Mus musculus: one gene and its partners. The protein of the gene in region 2 interacts with the protein of the main gene of each other region in a biochemical or structural test. Links are inferred from orthologs where the notes say so. Each region holds a gene or a part of one and is shown on either strand. Other genes may lie near its edges. The genes, in order: Hdac1, Ep300, Npm1, Eid1, Foxo1, H2ac21 and Nr4a1.

What was found.
Region 1: the proteins of Ep300 (region 2) and Hdac1 form a complex in vitro, tested with the Homo sapiens proteins (2 studies listed by BioGRID, with this or other methods). The link is inferred for Mus musculus from reciprocal best matches to the Homo sapiens genes EP300 and HDAC1.
Region 3: the proteins of Ep300 (region 2) and Npm1 form a complex in vitro, tested with the Homo sapiens proteins (2 studies listed by BioGRID, with this or other methods). The link is inferred for Mus musculus from reciprocal best matches to the Homo sapiens genes EP300 and NPM1.
Region 4: the proteins of Ep300 (region 2) and Eid1 form a complex in vitro, tested with the Homo sapiens proteins (3 studies listed by BioGRID). The link is inferred for Mus musculus from reciprocal best matches to the Homo sapiens genes EP300 and EID1.
Region 5: of the proteins of Ep300 (region 2) and Foxo1, one has a biochemical effect on the other in vitro, tested with the Homo sapiens proteins (3 studies listed by BioGRID, with this or other methods). The link is inferred for Mus musculus from reciprocal best matches to the Homo sapiens genes EP300 and FOXO1.
Region 6: of the proteins of Ep300 (region 2) and H2ac21, one has a biochemical effect on the other in vitro, tested with the Homo sapiens proteins (2 studies listed by BioGRID). The link is inferred for Mus musculus from reciprocal best matches to the Homo sapiens genes EP300 and H2AC21.
Region 7: the proteins of Ep300 (region 2) and Nr4a1 form a complex in vitro, tested with the Homo sapiens proteins (2 studies listed by BioGRID, with this or other methods). The link is inferred for Mus musculus from reciprocal best matches to the Homo sapiens genes EP300 and NR4A1.

Annotation. Positions count from the first base shown.
Region 1 is NC_000070.6:129,522,147-129,525,646, reverse strand, and holds part of Hdac1 (histone deacetylase 1), read left to right. Parts: intron 1-1,326; coding exon 1,327-1,401; intron 1,402-2,545; coding exon 2,546-2,684; intron 2,685-3,142; coding exon 3,143-3,284; intron 3,285-3,500. UniProt on the Homo sapiens protein: Histone deacetylase that catalyzes the deacetylation of lysine residues on the N-terminal part of the core histones (H2A, H2B, H3 and H4).
Region 2 is NC_000081.6:81,584,796-81,589,013, forward strand, and holds the start of Ep300 (histone acetyltransferase p300), read left to right. Parts: upstream 1-1,418; 5' UTR 1,419-1,833; coding exon 1,834-1,927; intron 1,928-4,218. UniProt on the Homo sapiens protein: Functions as a histone acetyltransferase and regulates transcription via chromatin remodeling. Acetylates all four core histones in nucleosomes. Histone acetylation gives an epigenetic tag for transcriptional activation.
Region 3 is NC_000077.6:33,156,707-33,160,206, reverse strand, and holds part of Npm1 (nucleophosmin), read left to right. Parts: intron 1-211; coding exon 212-273; intron 274-3,158; coding exon 3,159-3,216; intron 3,217-3,459; coding exon 3,460-3,500. UniProt on the Homo sapiens protein: Involved in diverse cellular processes such as ribosome biogenesis, centrosome duplication, protein chaperoning, histone assembly, cell proliferation, and regulation of tumor suppressors p53/TP53 and ARF.
Region 4 is NC_000068.7:125,671,789-125,675,991, reverse strand, and holds Eid1 (EP300-interacting inhibitor of differentiation 1), read right to left. Parts: upstream 2,801-4,203; coding exon 2,321-2,800; 3' UTR 349-2,320; downstream 1-348. UniProt on the Homo sapiens protein: Interacts with RB1 and EP300 and acts as a repressor of MYOD1 transactivation. Inhibits EP300 and CBP histone acetyltransferase activity.
Region 5 is NC_000069.6:52,344,837-52,348,336, reverse strand, and holds part of Foxo1 (forkhead box protein O1), read right to left. Parts: intron 3,299-3,500; coding exon 1,961-3,298; 3' UTR 1,947-1,960; intron 1,342-1,946; 3' UTR 1-1,341. UniProt on the Homo sapiens protein: Transcription factor that is the main target of insulin signaling and regulates metabolic homeostasis in response to oxidative stress.
Region 6 is NC_000069.6:96,218,608-96,220,854, reverse strand, and holds H2ac21 (histone H2A type 2-B), read right to left. Parts: upstream 971-2,247; 5' UTR 940-970; coding exon 547-939; 3' UTR 501-546; downstream 1-500. Other genes in the region: H2ac20 (histone H2A type 2-C), read left to right, coding at 11-400. UniProt on the Homo sapiens protein: Core component of nucleosome. Nucleosomes wrap and compact DNA into chromatin, limiting DNA accessibility to the cellular machineries which require DNA as a template.
Region 7 is NC_000081.6:101,265,404-101,269,645, reverse strand, and holds the start of Nr4a1 (nuclear receptor subfamily 4 group A member 1), read right to left. Parts: upstream 2,801-4,242; 5' UTR 2,675-2,800; intron 1,636-2,674; exon of another isoform or gene 1,557-1,635; intron 714-1,556; exon of another isoform or gene 649-713; coding exon of another isoform or gene 543-648; intron 1-542. UniProt on the Homo sapiens protein: Orphan nuclear receptor. Binds the NGFI-B response element (NBRE) 5'-AAAGGTCA-3'. Binds 9-cis-retinoic acid outside of its ligand-binding (NR LBD) domain.

The DNA of each region.
Region 1 (3,500 bases), on a different chromosome or scaffold from region 2:
CTCGCCCCTGGCCTCAGCAGCCACTTTCCTTAGGTTTTTGTGAGAGCCTGGGGCTGCTTCCTGTCTGTGTGGTTTCATTTGCATTAGTGTTTGTATGTGTTTCCACCTCATGCCCTGCTTGGTACTTTTACCTCATGGGCCTAAAATAACTCGAGTTATCACTTGGGTGTAGTCAAAGCACTGGCCTGTAGTAGTCAGGATACCTAGGTCCTATTCTGATTCTGATACTTATGGTCATACAGCCTTCGGCAAGTCACTTACTTCTTTGCATGTCCTCGTTCCAGTGCACGCTGGTCCTGTCTTGTCCAGGTCTTGGAGCTGTGAGTACTAAATGAGAGTCTATGTGCATAAAGCACTGTGGAAGGAGCAGGATACATTGTCTCAGGACAGGCAGCAGCAAATCAGGAGGCTTGAATTGTGCCTCTGTGTTAGCAGTTCGTTCACTTCTCTGAGCTCATTTCCCCATTTATAGGACTGGGCCAAATTCTACCTCAGAAGATTATGTGGGGATAAATGGATCAGGTGTTTAAAGCACTCAGCAGCATATGAACTCTTCCAGTACTCAGCAAGTAATTCTATAGGTCTCTGCTCACTTGGCCTTTCTGAGTCAGTTTCTTCATTTCTAAGTTCGGAAGGCAGTCCACCTCAGAAGACTGTGCGAGGATACGTGTATCAGGTATTTCAAGTGGTTAGAAGTGACAGCCTGCTGTAACACTCACCACGTGAGGAGCATACAGGTTTCCTTCGCCAGCATTTGCCAAATTGCTAAACACTTTCCTGTAAGATTTTTAATGTTGTATGCATAGTCCTAGCTACTCAGAAGGCCAAGGCTTAAGGAAAGGTTAAGCCAGGAGTTCAAGACCAGCTTGAGGAGCACGGTGAGGCCATGTCTTCAAAATTCCGGGGGAGGGTCTGTTAATTTTTTCACTGGCTGGTTGAAATGAATTTCACTGTTGCTTATTATCATTAATAGCATAAATCTCCAGGAAGTTAGCCTGGGCTAGAACCCAAGCTTTCTGAATCTAAACTGTTGTTTTCCTTCTCACTGTTGTAAAAATCTAAATAGAAAACTGAAGGAAGGGCTGGTGAGATGGCTCAGTGGGTAAGAGCACCCGACTGCTCTTCCGAAGGTCCAGAGTTCAAATCCCAGCAACCACATGGTGTCTCACAACCATCCGTAACAAGATCTGACTCCCTCTTCTGGAGTGTCTGAAGACAGCTACAATGTACTTACATATAATAAATAAATAAATCTTTAAAAAAAAGAAAAAGAAAAGAAAACTGAAGGAAACTGTGGAAGCTAACCTTTGCCTTATTTCTTTCAAGTCAATGTTGGTGAGGACTGTCCGGTGTTTGATGGCTTGTTTGAGTTCTGTCAGTTGTCCACGGGAGGCTCTGTCGGTAAGGAGACTAAATCTGCTTCTTGGGCTGTGCTGGACAGTTGCTGGGAGATCTGTCTGCCTTCATTACGAGTGATTCTGTGGGGTTTGACTTTCAACCTTAAACACAGTACTGACAGCTGTTTTTAATTCTCCTCTCCTGCCCCAAGAGCTTAGATGTGGAAATATCCTGTAGGCTTTAAGGGGCAGTTTGTGAACGGCAAAGACCTTTAAAAATGGAAGATCAACGTCTGTGTCTTATGAAAGAGTCAGGTCATTAACTTCTGAAGTCATAAATATTCCTCCCAGGTCATTTGACTGTAACTCTGAGATACCTTAGAACGGCCCCAAATCCTACCAAATGCAGCCACTCATGGGTTAAGGCTGGAGACACATTCTGAGAAATGTGTTCGTATACAGTTTGGACAAAGGTAGATGGTATAGCCTCCTGCACATCTGTACATGTGGTGTACATGTAGTACATGGTATAGCCTCCTGCACATCTGTACATGTGGTGTGCATGTAGTACATGGTATAGCCTCCTGCACATCTGTACTTGACATGTAGTATAGCCTGTTGTTTCTCAGCACCTGGATGAATAGAATGTGAGATTAAATCAAACGCCAGAAAAAATGCAGGGGCAGAGGCACTTACTGCTTATTATGAATAATTACTGCCCTTGCTCAAGGGTTTGGTTTCCAGCCCCCATATGGCAGCTAACAACTTAGAGTTAACTCTAGTTCTAAGGGCTCCAGTGCCCTCTGGGCACTAGGTACTTATGGTGCACATGCAGACGTGCATATATATCTGTGCAGACAGAATAGTCAGACAACTGTAGACACAGTATACAGGGGTGCAGCAACATTTCTGTTTTAGTTGGGGGTTTTGTTTCGTTTTACAATGAGGTCACTCTGTAGCCCTGATTTACCTGGAACTAACTTAGTAAACCAGGCTAGCTACAAGCTCAAGACGTCTGCCTGCCTCTGCTTCCTTAGTGTTGGGATTAAGGGTGTGTGCCACCACCAATAGCATACACAACAAACCCTGCCTCAACAATACCAAAAACACCCCCTTAAAACACTGTAAAATGAATAAAGTACCTCCCATTGAGTTGGCAGGGCAAGGGGAACGGCTTAGTAACAGGCTTGTGCTCTTTCCTTGCTCAGCAAGTGCTGTGAAGCTTAATAAGCAGCAGACGGACATCGCTGTGAACTGGGCCGGGGGCCTGCACCATGCAAAGAAGTCTGAAGCTTCTGGCTTCTGTTACGTCAATGACATCGTCCTGGCCATCCTGGAACTGCTAAAGTATGCCTGCCTGGCCTTGTGTCTTGGAAGAGCACCTTAGGCCAGGTCCCACTTCCCTCTACCCCTGGGCTTGCTTCCCTAGTTTGCTTTTCTTGTGGCCTGCTGGCTAGGATGTGTTCCATGAGTGTCTCTGGCCATCCTCTCCTTTTCGGGGTCTTGGTTTGATCTGAGCCCACGGCAAGATCTGGGGCAGGCGCTGCTAAGATCCTGCCTCCAGAGTGTCCTTGTGTGACTGGAGTTGACCCTGGCTGTAGAGTAGGAAGATCGGACATGGTCGGCTTGGTCAGGCCTCTGGAGACACCCCGGCCACTCTTCCACCTTCCTTCAGCCAGTTTCTACGTCTCTGGTGCTTAGAGATACCTGAGGGAGGCAGCTAGCCCGGTAAGCTGGGACCTGGCGCCCTTGGCGCGTCCCATCCCCAAAGAGCCCCCAGGGCCCTTATCACCTTCTGATCCTAGGTACCACCAGAGGGTGCTCTATATTGACATTGATATTCACCATGGCGATGGCGTGGAAGAGGCCTTCTATACTACAGACCGGGTCATGACTGTGTCCTTTCATAAATACGGAGAGTACTTCCCAGGAACTGGGGACCTACGGGTGAGAACTCCCTTTAGGGACCAACCAACTCACCTTCAGCTCTAACTCTCCTATCCTGTGTCATTAGAATCTACTTCTTGCCTCTCTGCCATTGAGAGTACCACATTATTGTTTGGGCACCTACACGACCTCATTCTTTATTCTGGAAGAGGACTGTTAGGATGTAAGGGGTCAAGAGAATTGAGGGTTTTCTGGCTCATTGTCACGGCCTCCTGA
Region 2 (4,218 bases):
AACTTAAAGGACTAGCAATGTGACTTTGAGATATGAACTGCTGCTTTCGAGAAGGCTATGAAGAGGATGGAATGTGTGTCTACGATGAAACACAGGTGTTTGGCGGATTTAATGGGGTTCCAAAGATCAACCTGAGAGGGCAAACCCCGGGAGCTCTGACCGTGGTTTTCCTTGTTTTCGCAGAGGAGCGCCTGAGCTTTGACTCGGTTCTGCTCAGAGACCCAGCCCAGGCACCTAACTGTCCACCGACCGAAAATACGTTCTAAGTTCACCCCGGACCCCCCCCCCCCCCACAACTTCTTTCAAAACCTCCCCTTTAAAGGGAGCCACCGAGTGACGCCGGGGGAGTTTGCGGAAGCGCCTACCGCGTTGGGGCCCTTGGGCGGATCCCGTGATTGGAGCCGGCACCGCCCCCGGCGCCGCTTCCCCCATTGTGTGAGCTGCAAGGCAGAGGCCCCGCCCTCGCCCCGCCTCCCTGTTTCTCGGCCCCTCCCCCTCTCACCTCCCCCCCCCCCCAATCTTGGCTCATTTCCGGCCGCCGCCGCCGCTACCGCTATCCTGTAAGGAGGATTCGGCAGAGGCAAGAAACAACAGCCGCCATCTTGTTTGTGTGCTAGCCTGTGGGGGGGGTGGGGGGAGGAGGAGAGAGAGCGGAGAGGGACCGGGAGAGAGAGAGTGGGGCAAGCGGGACGCCCGGCTGAGTGCGAACTGCGCGAGCAGGGAGTGAGGAGGGTACCTGGCTGGAGAGCAGCGGCCGGGACCGAGACAGTGGTTGGGGGCCCCGGGGCGCAAAGGCTGAGGCGACCCTCAGTCCCCTCCTTGCCCGCACACACCCCCACCGCAGCCCGGGCCGGCGTCGACGCCTAAGGGGGGGAAACCATTACATAAGCCCGCGCCCCGCGGCGCCTCTGCCCGCCGTCCGAGGCGGCCCCCGAGCCGAGCCCCCGGCAGGCACCTGGCTGCCGGGGGGGTGAGGGCCAGGGAGGCGGCCGGACTGATTTCTCCTCCCCGGGCTTGCGAGTGGAGGCGGAGAAGCGCGGCGCGCGGAGAGGCCGCGTCGGTGGGCTCGGCGTCAGCGCGGGCTTGCGGGCGGACGGCCCTGCTTGGCCCGGCCCGGCCCCCCTGGCCCTTCGGGCCGGCGAGCTCCACGCTCGGCGTCGTCGCTGCTGCGCCTCTGCTTGTCCGCTGCGCGATGTGAGGCGGCCCCGGCGCCAGTCTGGCTCTCGGCTCGGCTGAGCTCAGTGTGGCCATTAGGGGCCGGTGCGGCAGCGGCGGCGCGGAGCGCAGCGGCAGGAGGAGGAGGAGGGCGGCTCTCAGGGTGGGGGCGCAGGCCCGGGAGGGGGCACCGGGAGGAGGTGAGTGTCTCTGGTCGCCTCCTCCTCTCCCCCTTTTTCGCCCCCGCCTCCTTGTGGCGATGAGAAGGAGGAGGACAGCGCCGAGGAGGAAGAAGCTGATGGCGGCGGCGGAGCTCCGAGAGACCTCGGCTGGGCAGGGGCTCGCCGTGGCGGGCTGGGGACTGCGTCTGTAGAGCTGTGAGTTCCCGAGAATTCGCTGCAGCGGACGTGCTCGTGGGATCAGTGTTGCTGTACCCTCCTCCCGGCCTGGTTTAGGCCCGGCCCCTCGCACTTGCCCCTACCATTTCTGTTGAGTCCGCATCCCTCTCCGGCCACCGCAACCAGGCGAAGAGAAAAAGGAACTTCCCCCCACCCCTGTTGGGTGGCGGCGGAGCTCCGGAGCCCACCCTTAGGAGCGGGGCGGGGACCCCGTTTCGGAGAAGAGATTTCCTCAGGATTCTCGTTTTTTTCCTCGGTTGTATCTCCGAAAGAATTAAAAATGGCCGAGAATGTGGTGGAACCCGGGCCGCCTTCAGCCAAGCGGCCTAAACTCTCATCTCCGGCCCTCTCGGCGTCCGCCAGCGATGGCACAGGTTAGTCTCGGGACTCCCGGCCTTCCATAGTTCCCTTCGTCTTTTCTGCTCGTTGCACCTTCATTCCAGGGTGCTTCTGTGTATCTCTTCCCATTTCCCCGGCCGGTGTTTAATTTTAAAGGTTTTTGAATGGACTGGTCGAAGACGTCCAGTAGCCCAACCATTTTCTTTGCCTTCTGATACATTCATTGCAACACTATGTCATGTCAGATCGTTGTGTGTTCTGGAATTAAGAGGTTGGAAGTGGGAGCTGCGGGGACCTTTATTGTTGGCTCCATGCAATTTAATTTGGGAAATGCCGGTACAATCGTGTGTGAGGGCTTTTATGCACTTTTACTATTTTTGTTACTGGTGAATGAGGGATTTCAGCTCTTTCTCCCCTGTTGCAATGAATTCTTTTTTTCTCTGCTTTCCCACCTTTAATGATTTTTGCTCCTGTGAGGCAGATTTTCTGTTGAGGAATGGGGGCGGAAGACAAATCTTGGTGTCTGCGATCCAAGGTTTTAAGTGTAACTAAAGTTCAACAAAATTTCATTCTTAGGTCCCCTCTCCCCATCCTTGCCTCAAGAGTCAGTATGGACCGCAGTTTATTTTATATCCATTTGCCATGAAACCAAAATGTCTCAAACTGCGTGTTGAGGTGTAGACCTGAGGCGTTTCCTTTGCAGTTTGTCACACTCTTACTTAGAAGGGAAAGAAAAAAGATGAAGCCTTTCTGGAATTAGGTACTTAGAAATGGGAGATAATAAGTTGAAAGACTCCCAGTCATGAACTTCCAACTAAAGTGATTGTACAAGTTTAAAAATGAACAGGAGGTTTTGTGCTTGCATGTTTGTTTTGTTTTGCTTTTTGGACCTTTGCAATTCCAGTTTACAAGATGAAGGAATTCTTTTCTCCAGTCAGCCCCTTTGTTAGGAGACCTGAAGGGAGACTCTCCCTTGTCTGTTCTTTTTCCTGCTTACTGTTAGTTTAGTGTTATTCTGATGATCACTGACCTGGTCCTCTCTTGCTGTCTGACTTGTTTGAGAGGCCAGGATAATGAAGAAGAAGAAGAAGAAAAAGAAGAAGAAGAAGAAGAATGGCTAGTCATCTGACAGTCCACTAGATGTTCCTCCTTACTGCAAGCATCCCTTTAACTCAGAGAAGAGGCTCCAGATCTCTCCTTCTGCCAATGAGAGTGTATAGTGGAGTTAAACGTACCCTGCAAGTTGTAGAGAATGTGTGGGCCATGTTTCTGAGTAGGATTTCTATTAAGGCCTGGAAATAAGATAGAACTAGTGCATTACTCTGCTTTTTTAGCAGCTGTATTTCGAACCATGAGTTTTGCTCACCTGCAACAGTTGGGAAGGATAAGTCTTGCAGTGTTCTAAGGCTCTAACTTTAGTTATATGTGAGCATTCAGCTGTAAAGTTTCCGTAGTCTTAGAGAATTTTTTTTAAATTATGTCTTTGAAATTCATAGGCATAGATATTTTATAGACATATTTGCTCTGGATTTTTGTTTCCTCCTCTGCCCCCATAATAAGTGTACTTCTGTAACATGTTCACAAGTTACCATATTTGACATAGCCAGTAACAAGAAATATTATGGAAAACTTTTTAAAATTAAATTTTTGGATGTTCTGATTTTGAGTGACTTAGTCATAAAGTCTGTTCATGTAATTCTGTTCAGATGGACTACTGCATTCTTTATCTGATAAATTGTATAGCTTTTGGCTAACTTTCATGGTTAAAAAAGGGAAAACTTGCTTTGGGTATCTTTGAATGTCATTACTGGAGTCTTTGGGTGGTAGTGGTGGGGCTGGGGTTTTCTTTGTGTGGGTCTAGATGTCCTGGAATTCACATCACCAGCCTCTACCTCCCAAGTGCTGGATTTAAAGGCAGGTGCCACCAGGACCACCAACTTCTAGAGTCTTAAAAAATTTCAATACTGAGATTGGTTTATTCTTAGTAGTAAGGATTATAGTAATATTAGTAATTTTTCTTCTCTTAACATTGTAGTGACGGTTAAATTTTTTTTCTTTTAAAATTTATATACCATTAGGTCGGTTTTATTTTGTTTTGAGACAGGGTTTTTGTAGCTCTGACTATCCTAGAACTCTCCATGTTGATAAGACTGCCCTTAAGCTCACAGAGCCACCTGCTTCTGCCTCCTGTTTGCTGGGGTTAAAGGCCTGTGTCTCAAGGACCTGCTTGTTTCTTTTCCTTTTTTTTTTTTTTTTTTTTTTTTAATTTGATACAGGGTATCACTACATAGCCCTGACTGGCCTACAATCTAGAGAGAAATGATTG
Region 3 (3,500 bases), on a different chromosome or scaffold from region 2:
TCTGCCTCCCGAGCACTGGGGTTAAAGGTGTGTGCCAGGAAAGAGTTTTAAAAAGTATTTCTGGCTGGGGGTGGTCTACAAAGTGAGTTCCAGGACACCCAGGGCTACACAGAGAAACATTGGTATCGAAAAAAAAAAACAAAATTTCTGGCATTTACTTTGGCTAATCACCAAAATTTCTCTTGCTAATGGATGCATATTATTCTTTCAGAAAAAAGTAAAACTTGATGAAGATGATGAGGACGATGATGAGGACGATGAGGATGATGAGGAGTAAGTATAAGTACTATGATCTCAAAAACTTGATCTTACAGGTACTTGTAAGGGTTTAGGAGGATTGACTTGCCAGTGGTTGATGTTTGAAAGTAAAAGATTTTGACCTATGATTCCATGTTTGCCTTACAAACAAGCTATTTATTGTATGTGGGACATTGATGGGGGGGTTGAATTAATTTATTTTTTTGAGACAGGGTTTCTCTGTGTAGCCCTGGCTGTCCTGGAACTCACTCTGTAGTTCAGGCTGGCCTGGAACTCGGAAATCTGCCTGCCTCTGCCTCCCAAGTGTGTGCGCCACTGTGCCCGGCTGGGACATTGATTTTTCTTGGGAGTTATTGTTAGGAGTAAGATTTTATGTGTTCAATATAAGTAACAGCTAGATGGGAAGTATGGAATTCGTTAAAAATATTTTTATTACATATTTTCCTCAATTACATTTCCAATGCTATCCCAAAAGTCCCCCATACCCTCCCCCCGAAGTATGGAATTATTATTTGTAGTCTTATATTTGTTACCTTCCTGTCTTATAGAAGTTCTGGAATTGGTCAAGTATATTCTGAGCTAAGATAACTGTTCAAAGCAAACTTGGGAACTAGTCTTCATTATATTGATTACTGTATTCATAGTGGGGACATAGTAAGGGACAAATAATAGTCTTGAGGTTATCAGGGTTAGTAGTTCTTCTGGTGTGATAATGGTTCATCATACAGAGATGATGCCCACGAGAATAAAATGATAGCTGAAGATTATTTACTATTTAAGTTGGAGAGTTTAATCACATTGCCAGAAAGTTCTGGATCAAAGAATGCAAAGAGGCTTTAAACACATACTCTGTATACAAGCCTATGGATTAAAGTCCTGGATCAGATAATTCAAATTGTTTGATTTCAAGATTGACTTTATATATTTCATTGTATATAGTTTAACAATGTTTGGGGAGTAGCCAGGCAGTGGTGTCGCATGCACTTGGGAGGCAGAGGCAGGTTGATTTCTGTGTTCGAGGCCAGCCTGGTCTACAGTGAGTTCCAGGACAGCCAGGGCTACACAGAGAAACCCTGTCGAAAAACCAAAAAAAATTGGGGAGTAGAACAGATGAGTGGGTTATATTGCAAATAATGACATTTATGCAGAGATTTTTTTGACTATTTTGCCATTTAAGAGCTTAGAAGATAACCCTGAGGAATGTTGTTAGAACTAAGTATTGAATGCTGCTGTACTAAAGGACAGATATATGTGGTCTCATAAGATGGTATTGCCTTTTGGTTTTATTAGACATTTTTATTTACATTTCAAATATCCCCTTTTCTAGTTTCCCCTCTGAAAACCCCCTATCCCCCTCTCCATGCTCACCAACACCCATTCCTGCTTCCTGGCCCTGGCATTCCTCTATACTGGGGCATAAAACCACCAGCATCAAGGGCCTTTTTAATCTTAAGGATAAAATCATTGGAATAGTGTTTTGGTGGTATGACTGATACTACTACATGGTTTAGGATAGAAGAAAAGAGTAGTTTTATAGAAATTAGTATTGTTTCTGGTACCAAGCATCTACATGGATTGGGTGTAAGGTAAGGTCATTTTTATACTAACCTGTAGTGTTAAATTACCAAAACCACTGGATTTACATGTAGCAGATCCTAACAAGAGAGAATCTCCCCACTGAAAAGGTAATTTACATGAAGTTCAAACTTTTGACTTTAACACTAGTGTGGAAAATGTAGTCACTGTTGGTGATTTTGCTTACAGACTTTGTATGAGCAATTGGACATTATATACTTAGGTATAGACATGGAGATGTTTCAGTGGCCATACTGAATGTGATTTGCCCCCTTCTAAAAAATCACAGTATGCCTGAAGAACATTTTGTATTCCTCTTAAAGCAAGTGCCATGTGACTTTATATCATAATCTCAGCTCTAAATTGGAAGTGAGAAGCAGCACCCTTTTTTGAGCTAGGACGTTACACTAAGTATTTGGAGGTGGACTGTTGTTAATTTCAATCTGGCAGCTTAATTCCAGTGCCACATATATATGTCTTTAGGAGGAGCCAATAAAGTTAGCCTTGTCAAACACTGCACATAACACATTGGAATGAAGTGTAAGCAGAAGCATCTTTACAGTAAGACAGGTAGAATCAACAAATGTAGTAAAATTTTTACTATAGAATTTTTGATCAATCTTTGGCTACATTTAAATTATTTGAGTATTTTGCAACATTTCATCACCACCATTTCGGTCTGGCTTTGATTTTTGACAGAATTGATCCCTATAGTTTTTAAGGGCTGAAAAGTCATGTGCATGTGTCATTGACTGTAGGTATTTGGGGTTGCTGTCACCACCTTGTGGGAGTTCTTCCTAAATTTACCTCTTGAAGAGTAATGTGTGAAGCAGTATCTTTGTTTGGTTTATTCCCTAGGTGACTAACAGTCTTACATGTTTACTGACCATATGTTTGGGGAGAAATGGTCTGTTCAAATTTCTTGCATAAGTAATTAGTATCTTTGCTCTAGTTACTGGGATATGTAAAAGTTAATCCCTACACTGCAGAGGAGAGGACACTAAAGGCATATATGTACTAACACCTGGCTAAATGTTAACTCTAAAAAGCCTAGTTTCTTTATGGTTTGGTACAAAGCTGATTTGGTTGAAGCTATTTATTTACTAATAACATTGCAAAATTAATCAACTACACAACCCTTTGAAACAATACTCTCAAGTATTATATAAAAATGTTTGTTAGGTTTCTTAAGTATTGATCCATTCAAATACTGGTGCAAATTCACTTTTATTAACAATTGTGCTACAGTGGATGAATATGGTTTAGTTCTTTTGTAAAATTGACTAAAAATTTAAGTTCTGTGTGTTGGCTTATTTCATTTATAGTGATGATGATGATGATTTTGATGAAGAGGAAACTGAAGAAAAGGTCCCAGTGAAGAAAGTGAGTACATGAGATACTATGAGGTTTATCATGGGTAGCTAGTAAAAGGATGGGAATTTCTTAGTGCTAGTAGTAAAAACTGGCTGAATTGATCTTAAAAATTGGTTCTGAGCTAAACAGGAAAATTTGAGAACGCTATCTGTATGTGAGTTACAATTTATTAGTTTGTTTTAGGACAGTTTAATCTGAGTTGATCTCTACTCTGGAGAGGGCATATGGATTAAGGCCATTTTCTACTTGCAGTCTGTACGAGATACCCCAGCCAAAAATGCACAAAAATCAAA
Region 4 (4,203 bases), on a different chromosome or scaffold from region 2:
CAGCTGGAGCTACATAGTGAGACCCTATCGCCACAAAACTAAAGATAAATACAAGAGGGTCCAGTGAGTAAAAGAGTTTACTACCACGCCTGATGACCTGTGTCTGATCCCTAGGCCCCACCCAAATGCTGGGAGAGAAGCAACTCCTGAAGGTTATTTTTTGCCCTTTGCTTACTGTGGCATGAATCTCCCAGATAGATAGATAGATAGATAGATAGATAGATAGATAGATAGATAGATAGATAGATAGATAAATGCAGAATAAAGGATACAAAGAAATACCAATGCATGGCTTCTCCTCTTAACTTCCACGATATACTTTGGTCCCCAAACACAAATACACTCAAATTTATGGATATTTGTATTATATTTCTGTGGAGATGTGAACAAAAGTCTATTTACAGCAGGTAAATACCAATAACAGATCAATAAATGATTCCCTCAAGTCCAACTAGTGAGGCAATTTATTGGGTGAGTAAAAAAGAGGGCTGAGGGGTTACCCATGGAAGTGTTTGTAGCGGCTCTATCTAAATGTCCTACCCTAACATGGGTGACAGCTTCCCAAACACGAGTCCCCACCTAACATCAGCCAACCTCCCACCTTTTGTGTTTTAGCACCTTCTGAAACCACATGTAACCGGGGCAAAATTATGTACAGGTGCTTTGGAGGTACAGGAGCAACTAAAATCCCAGGTGAGGGTCTAAAATTACTAACAGGCCTGCCCAATCTTGGGGGAGGTCTCTCTCCCTCCCTCCACCACATGGACCCCAGAGATCAAACTCAGGCCATCAGGCTTGGCTATATGGCAGAAGGTACCTTTACCCACTGAACCACCTCGGCAGCCTCTCAAACAAGATGACTGTAAAACCAACCAACCAACCCCACAGAAACCCAGGAGTTATCCTACTGTCTCAGCTCTGTTCTGTATTGGTTGCCATGGTGGCATCAGCAGGGACATCGTGCTAATACATCATTTTCTTCTCAAGGAACTTCAGCATCAATTAAGCCATAGCATCACATTCACAGAGCGGGTCTTCCAGAAAACTCTGAAATTTGCTTTAACATCCCAGAACCCATTTTTTGGATATTTGATACTGGTTTACATTGTAAGCATTGGATGTTTAAATATCAAGATGGAGGCGTGGCACACACAGCAAGAGAATCCTGTATAAAGCATGTATGCAAAGCTATTAGACAAAGCAAAATACACAGAACAAGAAAATTTATTATCGCCAATGCTGGTGCATAAAGATTAACAAGCATAATTAGAAGAAGGGAGGGGGAGGGGAAGAAAGAGGCAGAGAGGGAGAGAGAGAATATGAATATCAGACACCCAGGTGGACTTCTGGGTAGGTTTAAAACCTTCAAAGTTTGACAACATAATAGCTCATACATCTTTTTATAGATACAGGCAGGATTTCTTTTTACTTGACAATTTTAGCAAACAGTTCTTACAATATGAACTTCAGTTATAGTCTTACCATCTGTCAAGGTACAAAACAGCAAGTGAAATTTCCCTAGTATAAAAGGGTATTAGAAAGTTTGTCTTTGGGCTTTCCCATACATTTTATTTAATGCATGAACTTAAAACCTTAAAAAGACATCCTGTTTCTTTCTTTACTTTGAAAATCATTACAATGGGTTTTTCCAAATTAGAGGTCACAGTAGCTTTATAAATCATGAAGATACATGTGCAGTCAAAATTCCAGAAGCGTTTGTAACACATTTTAAGATGACAGCACACATGATAACACGTCTACATTTATACCCACATTTACTTGGACTACTCTGTGGGGTAGATGAATACTCAATCTTAAACCTCAAGTTTAGCTTTTGATAACTGATGTGTATAAATCACCAAAAAGAATTTGGAAAGTTTTTTTTTTTTTCAATAGCCTTTCAGTTCGAATTAAAGACATCTTGGAATGTATTTCCCCCCATTCTTTAATTAGATTCTTGTATTGGTAGTCACAATTTACTCTTCCAAACCATCTTTAAAAGCTTAACAGAGAAAGCTCTTCTCCAATGTAAGGAAAATCATCTCGATCAACAGTCTGAACCAGAGGTTTTTGCTGAGCCCCTGTGAGACCAAAGAGGAACGATTTGGTCTTTTTCTCCTCGCGATTCTCAGGTTTAACACTCCTCCTTCCTCGATTCTCCTTTTCCACAATGCATGGTCATTCACTGTCCCGTCTTCTATTCCGAGAAACAAAAACCAACTGTTTTTATTTTTTGCACAGAACTATTTGGAATGAACCCCAAAATAGCAGAATGTTGAATCTCTCCCTCTCAGGTAGTTTCCTCCTCTCTCGTCAGCATTTACTCTCGATCAATGATCTCATCACAACCGAGCTCTTCGGTCAGTCGATTGACAACCATCAGCGAAAACAGCTCTTCGATAAAAGCTAGCTGGTCGAAAGGGCTCTTCTCACACCGCGCCTGAAAGCCGCCATCCAGGGCATCTCCGGCTCGCGCGGTTCGCAGGAACACCTTGTTGGCTTCCTCCAGGGCGGCGGACACCCTGTGCATCGCGCCGCTCCAGCGCTCCTCTTCAGGGAACTCGTAGTCGTCCTCCCAGTCATCAAACTCGTCGCCTTCCAGGTCCGCGCCAGCCTCGGGGAACAGACCGCGCTGGGCGCGGGCGGCGGCCGGCCCGGCCTCCTCCTCCATGGGGCCCTCCTCCGGGGCCGGCCCGCGGGCCCCGCGGCCTACCTCCATATAGCCCTCGCCGGGCAGCACGTCCATCTGCAACTCGTTGCTTTCTTCGTACAGCTCGCAAAGCTCTGCCATCTCCGCCATGGTGGAAGCGACTCGACCAAGGTGGAAAAAAAAAAGGAACCTTTTGCAGAGACGGGCGCGCGAACGGGCGTGGTGCGCGTGCGCAGGCAAGAGGGCGTGCGTGGAGCGCGAGCTGGGGGGGGGGGGCGCGTGCGCAGGCGAGTGGGCATGCGTGATGCGCGTGCGGAGCACGTTTCACGTGCGCAAACGGGTAGGCGGGCGTGGTGCGCGTGCCAGCATGGCGTGCGTGTGCTGGCGAGTAGGCCGCTTGGTCCACGGGGGGGGGGGGGGGCGTGGTGCGCGGGCGCGGGCGCGGGCGCGAGCTCTTCCCTTCCCACCCCTCACCCCCTATGTTTCCCGGACTCCCACCTCACCCTCACACCCACTCAGGACCCGCGATGCTTCCGCTGGTGACCCACCTGGAGACCAGCTCTAAGTTCCTTGCCAAGTGCTTGCTTTGCCTAGATGGAAAGCCCTGGCCTTCTGTCACAGATGCCATCTCTCCTCCACCTCCCTGCCTCCCCAGCGTTCCTGTGATCAGCATGTCCATTACCTCTCACCATTTCAAATCCCACTAGTCCCGTCCTGCGCACTGAGAAAATTTAACTTTTCGGTTTTTTTCTTCTGAATTTATTGAAGTTGACCTAACCAAAGATAAATTGTGTGTATGTCCACACGTATATACCATGGGGAAACTAAACCACATACATGTGTGAGTACTAGGATAAAGAAAGGTGGAAAATAGGCTATACATATTTTAAATATATACAGATAATCACGCGCCACGGTTGCTCTACAAACTTAAACTGTAGCCAATAGTGTTTGAGAATATCCACACCCTTACCACGTATTGTTTTATGGAATTAATATAAGTAAACTTAAGTTTTATCAATTTGATCTCTCTTTCGTGTGTATGCGTTTGTTTGCCTGTCTGTAATGTTTGTGTGCCACGTGTGTGCATTGTGCCTACAGAGGCCAAAAGAGGGCGTTGGAACTCCTAGAAACGAAGTCAGTTGTACACTGCCCTGTGATTACTGGGAGTCGAACCCTGGTCCTTAGTGTGAGCAGCCGATGCTGTTTACTGCTGAGCCATTTCTCCAGCCTTGATTGTATCTTTATAATCTTTCCATAGCTTTAGTTTATTATTCGTGGATGCAATGGCCCTGTCATGTCCAAGAGACAATGCTCCATAGCATTCCTCTTTATCTTATATAATTTTTGCCAATGGTCATTTTTTATATTCTTCAGCGAACTTTTCTCCAAAGTGTTACATGATCCTTACTAGTTTTACATACTTGAACATATTTGTATGAAATCTTCCTCTTTATCCATTAAATGAAGTTTCTCATGAGCTGTTATTGGAATATAATCTTTGCATGTTGATTTTTGTTCTTATTGAAATGTTAATAGAGAAAAGTGCACAG
Region 5 (3,500 bases), on a different chromosome or scaffold from region 2:
GGACAGAGCCACAAAGCCACCTCCATCGTGACAAAAGCCAACAGCTCAGAGTAGTAGGAGGCGAACCCCAGTCAGACAAAGAACATCACCTTAGATAAAAGTTCCCCTTTCCTGAGCGACAGACAGAGTTCCCATGGGAACTATGACAGCGTGACACAGGGCATCATCTGGCAGGCTTCCCTAGAAGGCTGTAAGCACGTGGCATCTATCTGAAGACTTGGTGCTATGCGCTGTACACAACTCACAGGGTAATAAAAGCAGGTGAAATTTCTTTAAAATACACACATAAATCTACACACAAAACAGAGTGTCTGTAACTATACATAACTTTCCTGCCCAAAGGGCCAGGAACGTTGAGTGTGCAAGTACTAATTACAATGGTTTACGATTAGTCAGAAACATTATCAGGTATCATCGCAAAGTGTACAAACCAGCTGAGCACATATAAAATTAGTACTAATCCAGTTAGAAATACAAAATGAAAATTATGAATGCAGCCCCCAAATACCTCTGATTTCACAAATTTATAAGCAGACAATGTAACAAAGTAGACTCTAGTTTTAAGAAAACATTACACTTCGGTATCTATTCCAAAAGATGTTGAGTCCTAACAATAACATCAAAAGTCATTTATCTGGAAATTAGAACCATTTTAAGTTGTTTGTACAAATTTGCAAATAACAAAATAAACAACAACAAAAACAATAGAAAAAGACCTGTACAAAGCTGGCACTTAATCTTATTCTGCCCCAAAGTTTGACAAGTCCATTAATTCAGCACATTGATCACTGGCTACTTGGCTCTCATGGGTTCTGTGGCAAATGACCAGGTTCAGTCATTCAGCCGAGGTGCAGGACAGAGATCTTAGTTCATGACTTCTCACTGTAGCAGAACACAGGTAGTACAAAGCAAAGTTTATCAAGACTTGAGACCATCACAGTATTACAAAAGAGTATAAACTTTCCTTGGACCAAGTAGGTATTAAAAAACACACACACAAATACAATTCTGTATCTACTGCATATATACAAAACTTGAAAGCACTCCAGGATCTGAAAGTCTTTTCTGCAATTACATGGTGTAGTGAGTTTGGCACTTCATTGTAATGATTCCCAATGGCACAGTCCTTATCTACAGGAGCACAAAACCTGCGGACGCTGGGCAAACATCCTGCACAGGAAAGTGCTGCCGCTGTTGCCAAGTCTGAGGAAAGGAGAAAGGACTTTTTTTTTTTTTTTTTTTTTTTTTAAATCTTGAAAACTATAAGGAGGGGTGAAGGGCATCTTTGGACTGCTCCTCAGTTCCTGCTGTCAGACAATCTGAAGGACTTTTAAATGTAGCCTAAAGGGGAAAAACACACACAATAAAAATATAGTCATTTTCAACTCAATTGTACTTAATCAAGTTGGGGGTAGGGGAAGCTCCAGCCTTCTCAAACAGCTACAAAATTATTCAATGGGTACATTTTTTTTCTTTATTGAGAAAAAATGGGAGGAAAAGAAAAGACCTTTGGCATCTGATTTGATTCCAATGTGTCCATTTATTTTAGAGCTGGCAGAAAGCACAACCCATCCTACAGTGAAAAGAAAGTCTTAAAAGCTGCTAAAGCAATCTGCACTCTATTTTAACCCCAAAAGGCAAACTGATAAACGGAGGGAGGGAGGGAGGGGAGGACAATAACAGGTAAGCACCTGCAACCAGATGGCATTAGAAGAAAGCCTAATGCAACCCTGGGCATAGCTCTGTCAGTGTTGCCCTGGGTTAGACCCCAGCACCAAGTAAGCCAGGCCTGGTAGGGATGAGTTACATAAGACCCTGTCTTTAATTACGTTTTTATTTTTATTTTTTTTATTTTTATTTTTTTAATGTCTAACCATGGAAGGAAGACACATGGTACTGTGTCCCTTTTTCAAAAGGCCTCTTGATACTGCAGTGAATAAACTTACCTGCTCACTAACTCTTAGCCTGACACCCAGCTGTGTGTTGTAGTCTTGACACTGTGTGGGAAGCTTTGGTTGGGCAACACATTATCAAAGTTAAAATCCAAGGTATCTCCATCCATGAGGTCATTCCGAATGATGGACTCCATGTCACAGTCCAAGCGCTCAATAAACATGCCATCCAAGTCACTTGGGAGCTTCTCCTGGTGGAGGACACCCATCCTACCATAGCCATTGCAGCTGCTCACCGAGGAGTAGCTGCCCAGGGCACTCATCTGCATGGGGTGGGACAGAGGCACTTGTAAAGGTGTCTTCACGGGGGTCAAGCGGTTCATGGCAGATGTGTGAGGCATGGTGTTCACCACATGGGGCAGGGTACGGCCGTTGACCGAAGCCGTTTGCTGTGCATGTCCAGGGTGGGTGTGGGAGCTGGGGTTCATCATTTTGTTATGAGATGCCTGGCTGCCATACGCTGGCATGACCGAATTAGGGCCCATCATTACATTTTGGCCCAGGACCCGACTGTTGGGTTGGGCCACTCCGGGATCAACCGGTGACATAATGTCATTGTGGGGAGGAGAGTCAGAAGTCAACAACTCTTTCAAGAGTCCTGGGGCACAGTTATACTGGTTCAATCCTCCGTAACTTGATTTGCTGTCCTGAAGTGTCTGCATAGGCATCTGGGGCAAAGGGCTCATGCTGGATTGGCCGTATGTGTACTTTGAGTAGTTTGGACTGGGTGAATTTAGACTGGTGTTTGGCGGTGCAAACGAATAGCATGGTGTCTGCTGCATCATGCTGCCAGGCGAGGACTGGGTGGACACAGTTAAAGATGTTGGGGACGAGAGAAGGTTGAGATTATCCAGAAGGTTCTCCATGTTTTCTGGATTGCTGATTTCAGACAGACTGGGCAGCGTAGACGCCATCTTGGCAGCAGAGGGTGGATACACCAGGGAATGCACGTCCCCATCTCCCAGGTCATCCTGCTCTGTCATGATGGGAGAAAGTCTCCCACTGATGGTACTAGCATTTGAGCTGGTTCGAGGACGAAATGTACTCCAGTTATCAAAGTCATCGTTGCTGTGGGACCCAGGACTCGCAGGCCACTTAGAAAACTGAGACCCAGGGCTGTCTCCAGGACCCTCTTGCCCAGACTGGAGAGATGCTTTTTTCTTAGCAGCCCGCCCTCGGCTCTTAGCAAATTTACTGTTGTTGTCCATGGACGCAGCTCTTCTCCGGGGTGATTTTCCGCTCTTGCCTCCCTCTGGATTGAGCATCCACCAAGAACTCTTTCCAGTTCCTTCATTCTGCACTCGAATAAACTTGCTGTGAAGGGACAGATTGTGGCGAATTGAATTCTGCAAAGCAAAACAGTATGTTAGAAGTGCAGCACTCCCCCCTTGGAAAACTTACTGCTCAATGGGGATCAGAGATATACAGTGCCCATTCTGAGCAGCCTAACAGCTCGTAATTTGTGTGGAGGTCAGAAGACAGCTTTTGGAGTCTCTTTTCACCTTCCACCTTTACTTGGGTTCTGAGAATAAAACTTGTGCAGCAAAA
Region 6 (2,247 bases), on a different chromosome or scaffold from region 2:
ACTCTAAGTTATGTCTGGCCGTGGCAAACAGGGAGGCAAGGCCCGCGCCAAGGCCAAGTCGCGGTCTTCCCGGGCCGGGCTACAGTTCCCGGTGGGGCGTGTGCACCGGCTGCTGCGCAAGGGCAACTACGCGGAGCGCGTGGGCGCCGGCGCGCCGGTATACATGGCGGCGGTGCTGGAGTACCTAACGGCCGAGATCCTGGAGCTGGCGGGCAACGCGGCCCGCGACAACAAGAAGACGCGCATCATCCCGCGCCATCTGCAGCTGGCCATCCGCAACGACGAGGAGCTCAACAAGCTGCTGGGCAAAGTGACGATCGCACAGGGCGGCGTCCTGCCCAACATCCAGGCCGTGCTGCTGCCCAAGAAGACCGAGAGCCACAAGGCTAAGAGCAAGTGAAACTCAACACGAATCCAAAAAGGCTCTTTTTAGAGCCACCAAATCTTTTACAAAGGAGCTAGCTAACGCGCCAGTTTGTGACCAGCCCTTTGGATGACACTTTGGTGGCTCTTAAAAGAGCCTTTTTGTGTGGAAAGGGATAATAGTTATTTGTTCTTTCCAGGCTTATGACTTTCCGTTTTCTTCGGAAGTAAGACAGCCTGAATATTGGGGAGGACCCCGCCCTGGGCGATGGTGACTCCCCCTAGTAACTTGTTGAGCTCCTCATCGTTCCTCACAGCTAGTTGCAGATGGCGCGGGATGATGCGCGTCTTCTTGTTGTCGCGGGCCGCGTTGCCCGCCAGCTCCAGGATCTCGGCCGTTAGGTACTCCAGCACCGCCGCCATGTACACCGGCGCGCCGGCGCCCACGCGCTCCGCGTAGTTGCCCTTGCGCAGCAGCCGGTGCACACGCCCCACCGGGAACTGCAGCCCGGCGCGGGACGACCGCGACTTCGCCTTGGCGCGGGCCTTGCCTCCTTGTTTGCCACGGCCAGACATGGCGGAATAAGCAATTTCTGCTGCTTTTTCCAAGGGAAGGATATGGAAAGGTGAATTTATAAGATCTATCGGGAGGGGTGAAGGAAAAGTAGCTTGATTGGCTTAAAATGGAGCTGTCTCCAACAGCCAATGGGAAAGCAGAAGCTAGACTCGGTGGTTTACATCCTGCAGTACAGGAAATGACGAATTTTTTGAAAAAGGAATTTACCAATCGATGAGAGCCACATTTAAAGGCCCTCACTTACATCGTAGGATTTTAAGGGCAGAAGAATTTCGCGGAGCTGTTTATTGTGGTAATTTATAGAGGTTTGTTTTGTTTGCCCAGTTTAGAGCTGAAAAATCTAAACAAACAACCAAGAGCACAAAACTCGAAACACTCCCCTTGAAGTATGGGATTTTGCTCTGTCCCCACCCCCACCCCGGAGCTTTAAATTACTCTCCATGTCTCACACAAGCAGGCTCCGTAAAGGAATTAGGAAAGTTGCTTCGCTTCCTTACCCTTGACAGTGGCTCCCCATCTTTGCCCCTGGGTCGTTTGACCAAGGGCTAGATGACATTGTATCCATCGTCTTTGACCTCTAGGAGGTGTCTGCCACCACCTTTTCCCTCTAGCTTTTAAGATGTCCTCGTTTGATCTGGGGTTTTCTTTACCCTGCTCCGGTTCTCTCCCCACTAAAAAATCCGCGAGTTCAGCTGAACTGTCCTATCCCCAGCTCTTCCCTCTGGCGAGGCTTACAAGCTTCCAGCTAATTCAGATTCGCTTCACAAGCTCAGACTCCGGTATCAGGCGTTTACTAAATGTTTAACTCGTTTGTCTCAACAAGCATCATATTAGCATCTGAAACATGAGCTCTGCATTCCTTTGCCCTATCCCAAGAATTGCACCCAAAAACTTTCAGGTACCAAGATAAGACGGTGGGGGGTGAACGGTGAGGGAGCCTGTTAAGGGAACTGTATCTAATTCTAGAAGTTACAGTTACATTCTAAACTATTCTTAAGTTTGCAGGGTATTTTGTTAGCATTAGACAGCCATTCTGCTATGCAAGTTCTAACAACATTAACTTTTGAGGCATTTGGGGCTGAGAACAAAACCCAGATAACAGGAAAATCTCGTACACATATCCCTGGCACCTTGTGAGGTTCTGCTTAAAGAGTCAGTGAACCCCCTCGCCTTGACCTCTGGTTTTCTTCTCAGTGATCTGAGTTGTGAAGAAGGCTAACGGGACAGAGATCGCTCAACCCAAGTGTGATTCACCCTGTGCTATAGGCCATCTACAAAGTGGATGTAATTTTCTGTTTTGTGGGTAA
Region 7 (4,242 bases), about 20 Mb from region 2:
CCAGGCACACCCTAGGCTCTGTATACCCCTTCCCCACCTCCCCCATACGTCTGCAGAGACTGACATCCTGGAAATGGGGTAGAGGCTGCCAGCCAAGGTACAACTGTCTATCACGGTAGCCTCGGGAGAAAGCAGCCCCACACCTCACCACCACCACCCCCCGCATGCTGATCCCACAGGCACCCACTCTGTACTTTCTGACATGTTTCCAGGAGTTGGGGGGAACTAGGCCACCTCACCATCCCCAGCTCCACAATGGGTTGGGTAGCATTGCTATAGAGTTTTAAATACCGTATACTGGGGGGGGGGGGGGGGGTGGAGAAGTTGCTCAGTGGTTAAGAGCATGCACTGCTCTTCCACAGGAACTAAATCCAGTTCCCAGCAACTACATCAGGTGGCTCACAACCATCTGTAACTCTAGCTCCAGGACATCTGATGTCTCTAGCCTTGTAGGACACCCATGCTCATGTGCACACACAGAGACACATATAAATACAATTAAAAACAATTGAAAACGCAAAAAAAAGTAAAACCTTAAATACCATATATTGAAGGGAGGCGAGGAACTGAGCAGGAAGATCCAGAGAGCAGTCTCTGGACTGGAGAAAAGACAACTCTCAAAAGGAATTTCTCAGCTAACCCGGTCATTTATTTTCATTTTCCATGCCAATAGGTGTTTTGCCTGCATGTTTGTCCGTGTGAGGGTGTCAGATCCCCCCTGGAACAGGAGTTACAGACAGTTGCAAACTGCCACATGGGTGCTCTTAGCCCCTGAGCCATCTCTCCAGCCCCCTAACCTTGTCATTTTGTAAGAGAACACTCAGAACCCAGCAGCAGCCGCAAGCTAATTGGACAGAGTGGAGGATCCTACCAGCGGATGCACAGAGACAAGCTGTCCCTCTGCTAAAGCAGATGTCTGTTTGCTGCAGCATCCAGGGTCTCAGCAAAGGTCACAAACCTGAAGCACCTGAATGACCAGGGGTAGCTGGAGGAGGCCCTTACGTTCTCATCTGGTCAAAAAAGCCCACAGAGGAGGCTCCAGGACCTAGTGTCCCTTTCCACCTCCAACTCTGGGGTCTGTACAGTTCTAGACTTTCTAGTTGAAAAGACAGGTCACACAGGAACACTGAGGCAGAGGGTGCTGAGGCAGAGGGTGCTGAGGCAGAGGGTGCTGAGGCAGAGGGTGCTGAGGCAGAGGGTGCTGAGGCAGAGGGTGCTGGGGCAGAGGGTGCTGGGGCAGAGGGTGCTGAGGCAGAGGGTGCTGAGGCAGAGGGTGCTGAGGCAGAGGGTGCTGAGGCAGAGGGTGCTGAGGCAGAGGGTGCTGAGGCAGAGGGTGCTGGAGCAGAGGGTGGGGTGGAGAAAAAGACTATCACCACCTGCTGGCCCTTGAGACCCTCTAGTCCCAGTATTTCTCCCATTCCCCACACCACCCCTGGGTGCCTAGCCAGGACAGCTCCACCGCTGGCTAGGCATACGACTTCCCATAAAACAGCACCCCCCCCCCAACCAGTTCCCACCCCGCCTGCCCCGTGTCAAGTCCCTAGGGCATACAGCACCTGGGAGAAAGAAAGAAATATGGCCACTTCTGCCTCTGTTTGCAAGAAGCCTGGGAAGGGATGGGTTGGGGGTGGAGGAAGAAGGGTGGCAGCCAGTCAGGACTGGGCGTTTGTTCCAGCTCCATTCAAATCCTGTTTCTCCACTTGGACATCCTACATCCGGATCAACCCCCACCAATCTACCCAGCTTCAGGCCGATAGTCCGCAACACAAGATACAGATCTGCATCTAGCCTCCTGAGGGGGTGGGGGTGTCTCAAGGAGGAGGAAGAGGCGGGGTTGAAAGAGGGAGTGGGAGAATCCGGCTTGGGGCAGGTCCTGGCAACACCTGTTAGGTGACCAAGCCCGCAGGCTGCACCCTACCTAACAGACTCAAAAGACCACTGGGGTATACAAGTCTGTCTGATGACAGAAGGGGTCTCCCCCCTAGTCAGTACTACATCGAGACTCTATCGTGAGCAACTTCCACCCAGGCTCCACGTGCGGCTTTCAGTAGCTGCACCAGGCTACAGCTCCTAGGTTTCTAGATACTCTGACAACTTAGTCTAACACAACCATTACCCAGCCAACCTAGCTAGCCATTTCCTTCAGCAACCCCCAGGTCTTCCAGCACGGTTCAGAAAGAAAGTTCGGTAAGGGAATCAGAAAATCTAAGTACAGCCTATGAAGTATTAAGTAAACACTGGGAAAGGGGGCTGAGAGCCCGGGAAGGAGACCCGTGGAAATCCAATCTTACTTGTACTTGGATGGATCCCAGCAACGCCGAAGCTCTGAGTACCTTTTCCCAGTCCATGCTCAGACAACCCCCTACCCGGCAATCAACACCCAAACCCAGAGTACAGAGTGCCTCACACTGGAGATCCTAGCGGGGAAACCTCCTAAACAAGCGCCCACTACCTACCAAAACCAAGCACCTTGCAGACCCTTCGCCCGCTTCCTAAACTTCAAGCCCTGGCTCACCCTACTCCAAGAGCTATCCTTTAATACCAAAAATGCACCCTACACACCCCTCCTCGTAAGCCGACCCGAAAACACCCTTCCTTTTCGCCCGCGCGTACACCCCATCTCTTTCATGCACTGTCCCTAGAAACAGAAACACGCTCCCTGCGGGGTACCTACCCAGCCGGCTCCCACTCCCTGTGGCCGGGACCAGCGACCCAGTCGCAGCCTGGTCCCGCGTGCGCTCCGCTCCGCAGTCCTTCTAGCACACTCCCCCAACTTTCGCAGCCTCCTGCACTGGGGCTCCCCTGGCGAGCCCGACCCACATCTTAAGCGCTCCGTGACGCATGGAGAGGGGCGGGGGCGCCACTGACGCACACGGCCCGGCGAGCTTTGGCCATACAAGGGCGCGGGGGGCGGCGCGGTTCCGGCGGGAGGCGGCCAGGAGGAGGCGCGGGGACGGGGAGCCCGAGGGGGCGGGGCGAAGAGGGGGGGCCTGGAATGTCTGCGCGCGTGACGCACGCGGGGTTCCATTGACGCAGGGAGCGCGGATTGTTTGATCTATAAATAGTTTTCCTCTCGCCCGCTGCGCCGGCTAAATATAGTAGCTTCCAGACCCACTAGGCTCACCAAGCCGGACCCGGGATCGGGTCCCGGGGTCCGAAATAACCGACCAGGAGGAGGGGGTGTTGTAAATCCGTGCCCGCAGGGCTTCCCCAGAACAGGATCTCCTCCCCTCCAGCTGCTCCTGGTGCCAACAGCTCCCTCTCCCTCCTGCCCACCCCTACCCCAGGCCCTGCTCCGCTTTTGTCCCTTTCCCAGTCTGTCCTGGACACCTAGGGTATCACTCTCTGCCATTCTGAGCAGCCAGGGCAGTTCAGGGCTGAGGCAAGCCATTCTGGGACACACCCAGAAGATAGGAGGTGGGCTGGGCCCGTGCCTCAGCCTTGGCAATGTGCAGGGTCTCTAGCCCCAGGACTGAGGACAGGCACTCTGGCCTTCAAGGTTCCTTCCCAAAGGGCATAGCTTTGCCAGGCTGGGTCAACGGGCTCGGCTCCACACCGATGCTGGTTTCTCAGCGATGGCCTCTTAACCCCTCGCAGGATGGATGCACCCTAGTTGAGAAATTGCCGAATTTCAGAACCGGGTGGAGCCTGAGAAATCTTTCCAAACTCTTGCCAACTCTTCCCCATTTTATAAATAGATTCAGAGACATAATGGTACTTGTTCAAGGTCACTAAGCTAGGTAGTAGCACAATGGGGTCTTGAACCCAGGGCCATCGAACTCCATCTCCTTTTCACACTCTTCTGTCAATTCCCTGGTCCCAGTCCCTGATGGGGACCCACCTGCCTCCCCACTACCTGCTCCAGCAGTGAAGAGAGCAGCTGTAACCAGTTACTGCTTGCAGGGAAGGGTCTGGCCAGGGCTGTACTCAAAGTGCAGACCAGGCTGCAGCCACCTGGAGCTGTCACCCTGCAGGTCACATCTCCATCCCAGTCTAAGCTAAAGGAAACCTCATTTGTAGTCAGGTAAGAGAAAGGAAGGGGTATGGAGAAAAGATTCAGTGGTTAGCTTTCCCTACTAGGGATTCTCTTTGCAGTATCTCTATCCCATCCTTGACCCCACCCCCTGGTTCCCGATTTCTGCTGCCAGCCCACCAGTGCAGCAGACTAACCGAGACTATCCAATGACGGCCTATTCTGGCCATAACCGGTTTTTAAAAATGGGCTAAGGGCGTAGCTCAGTG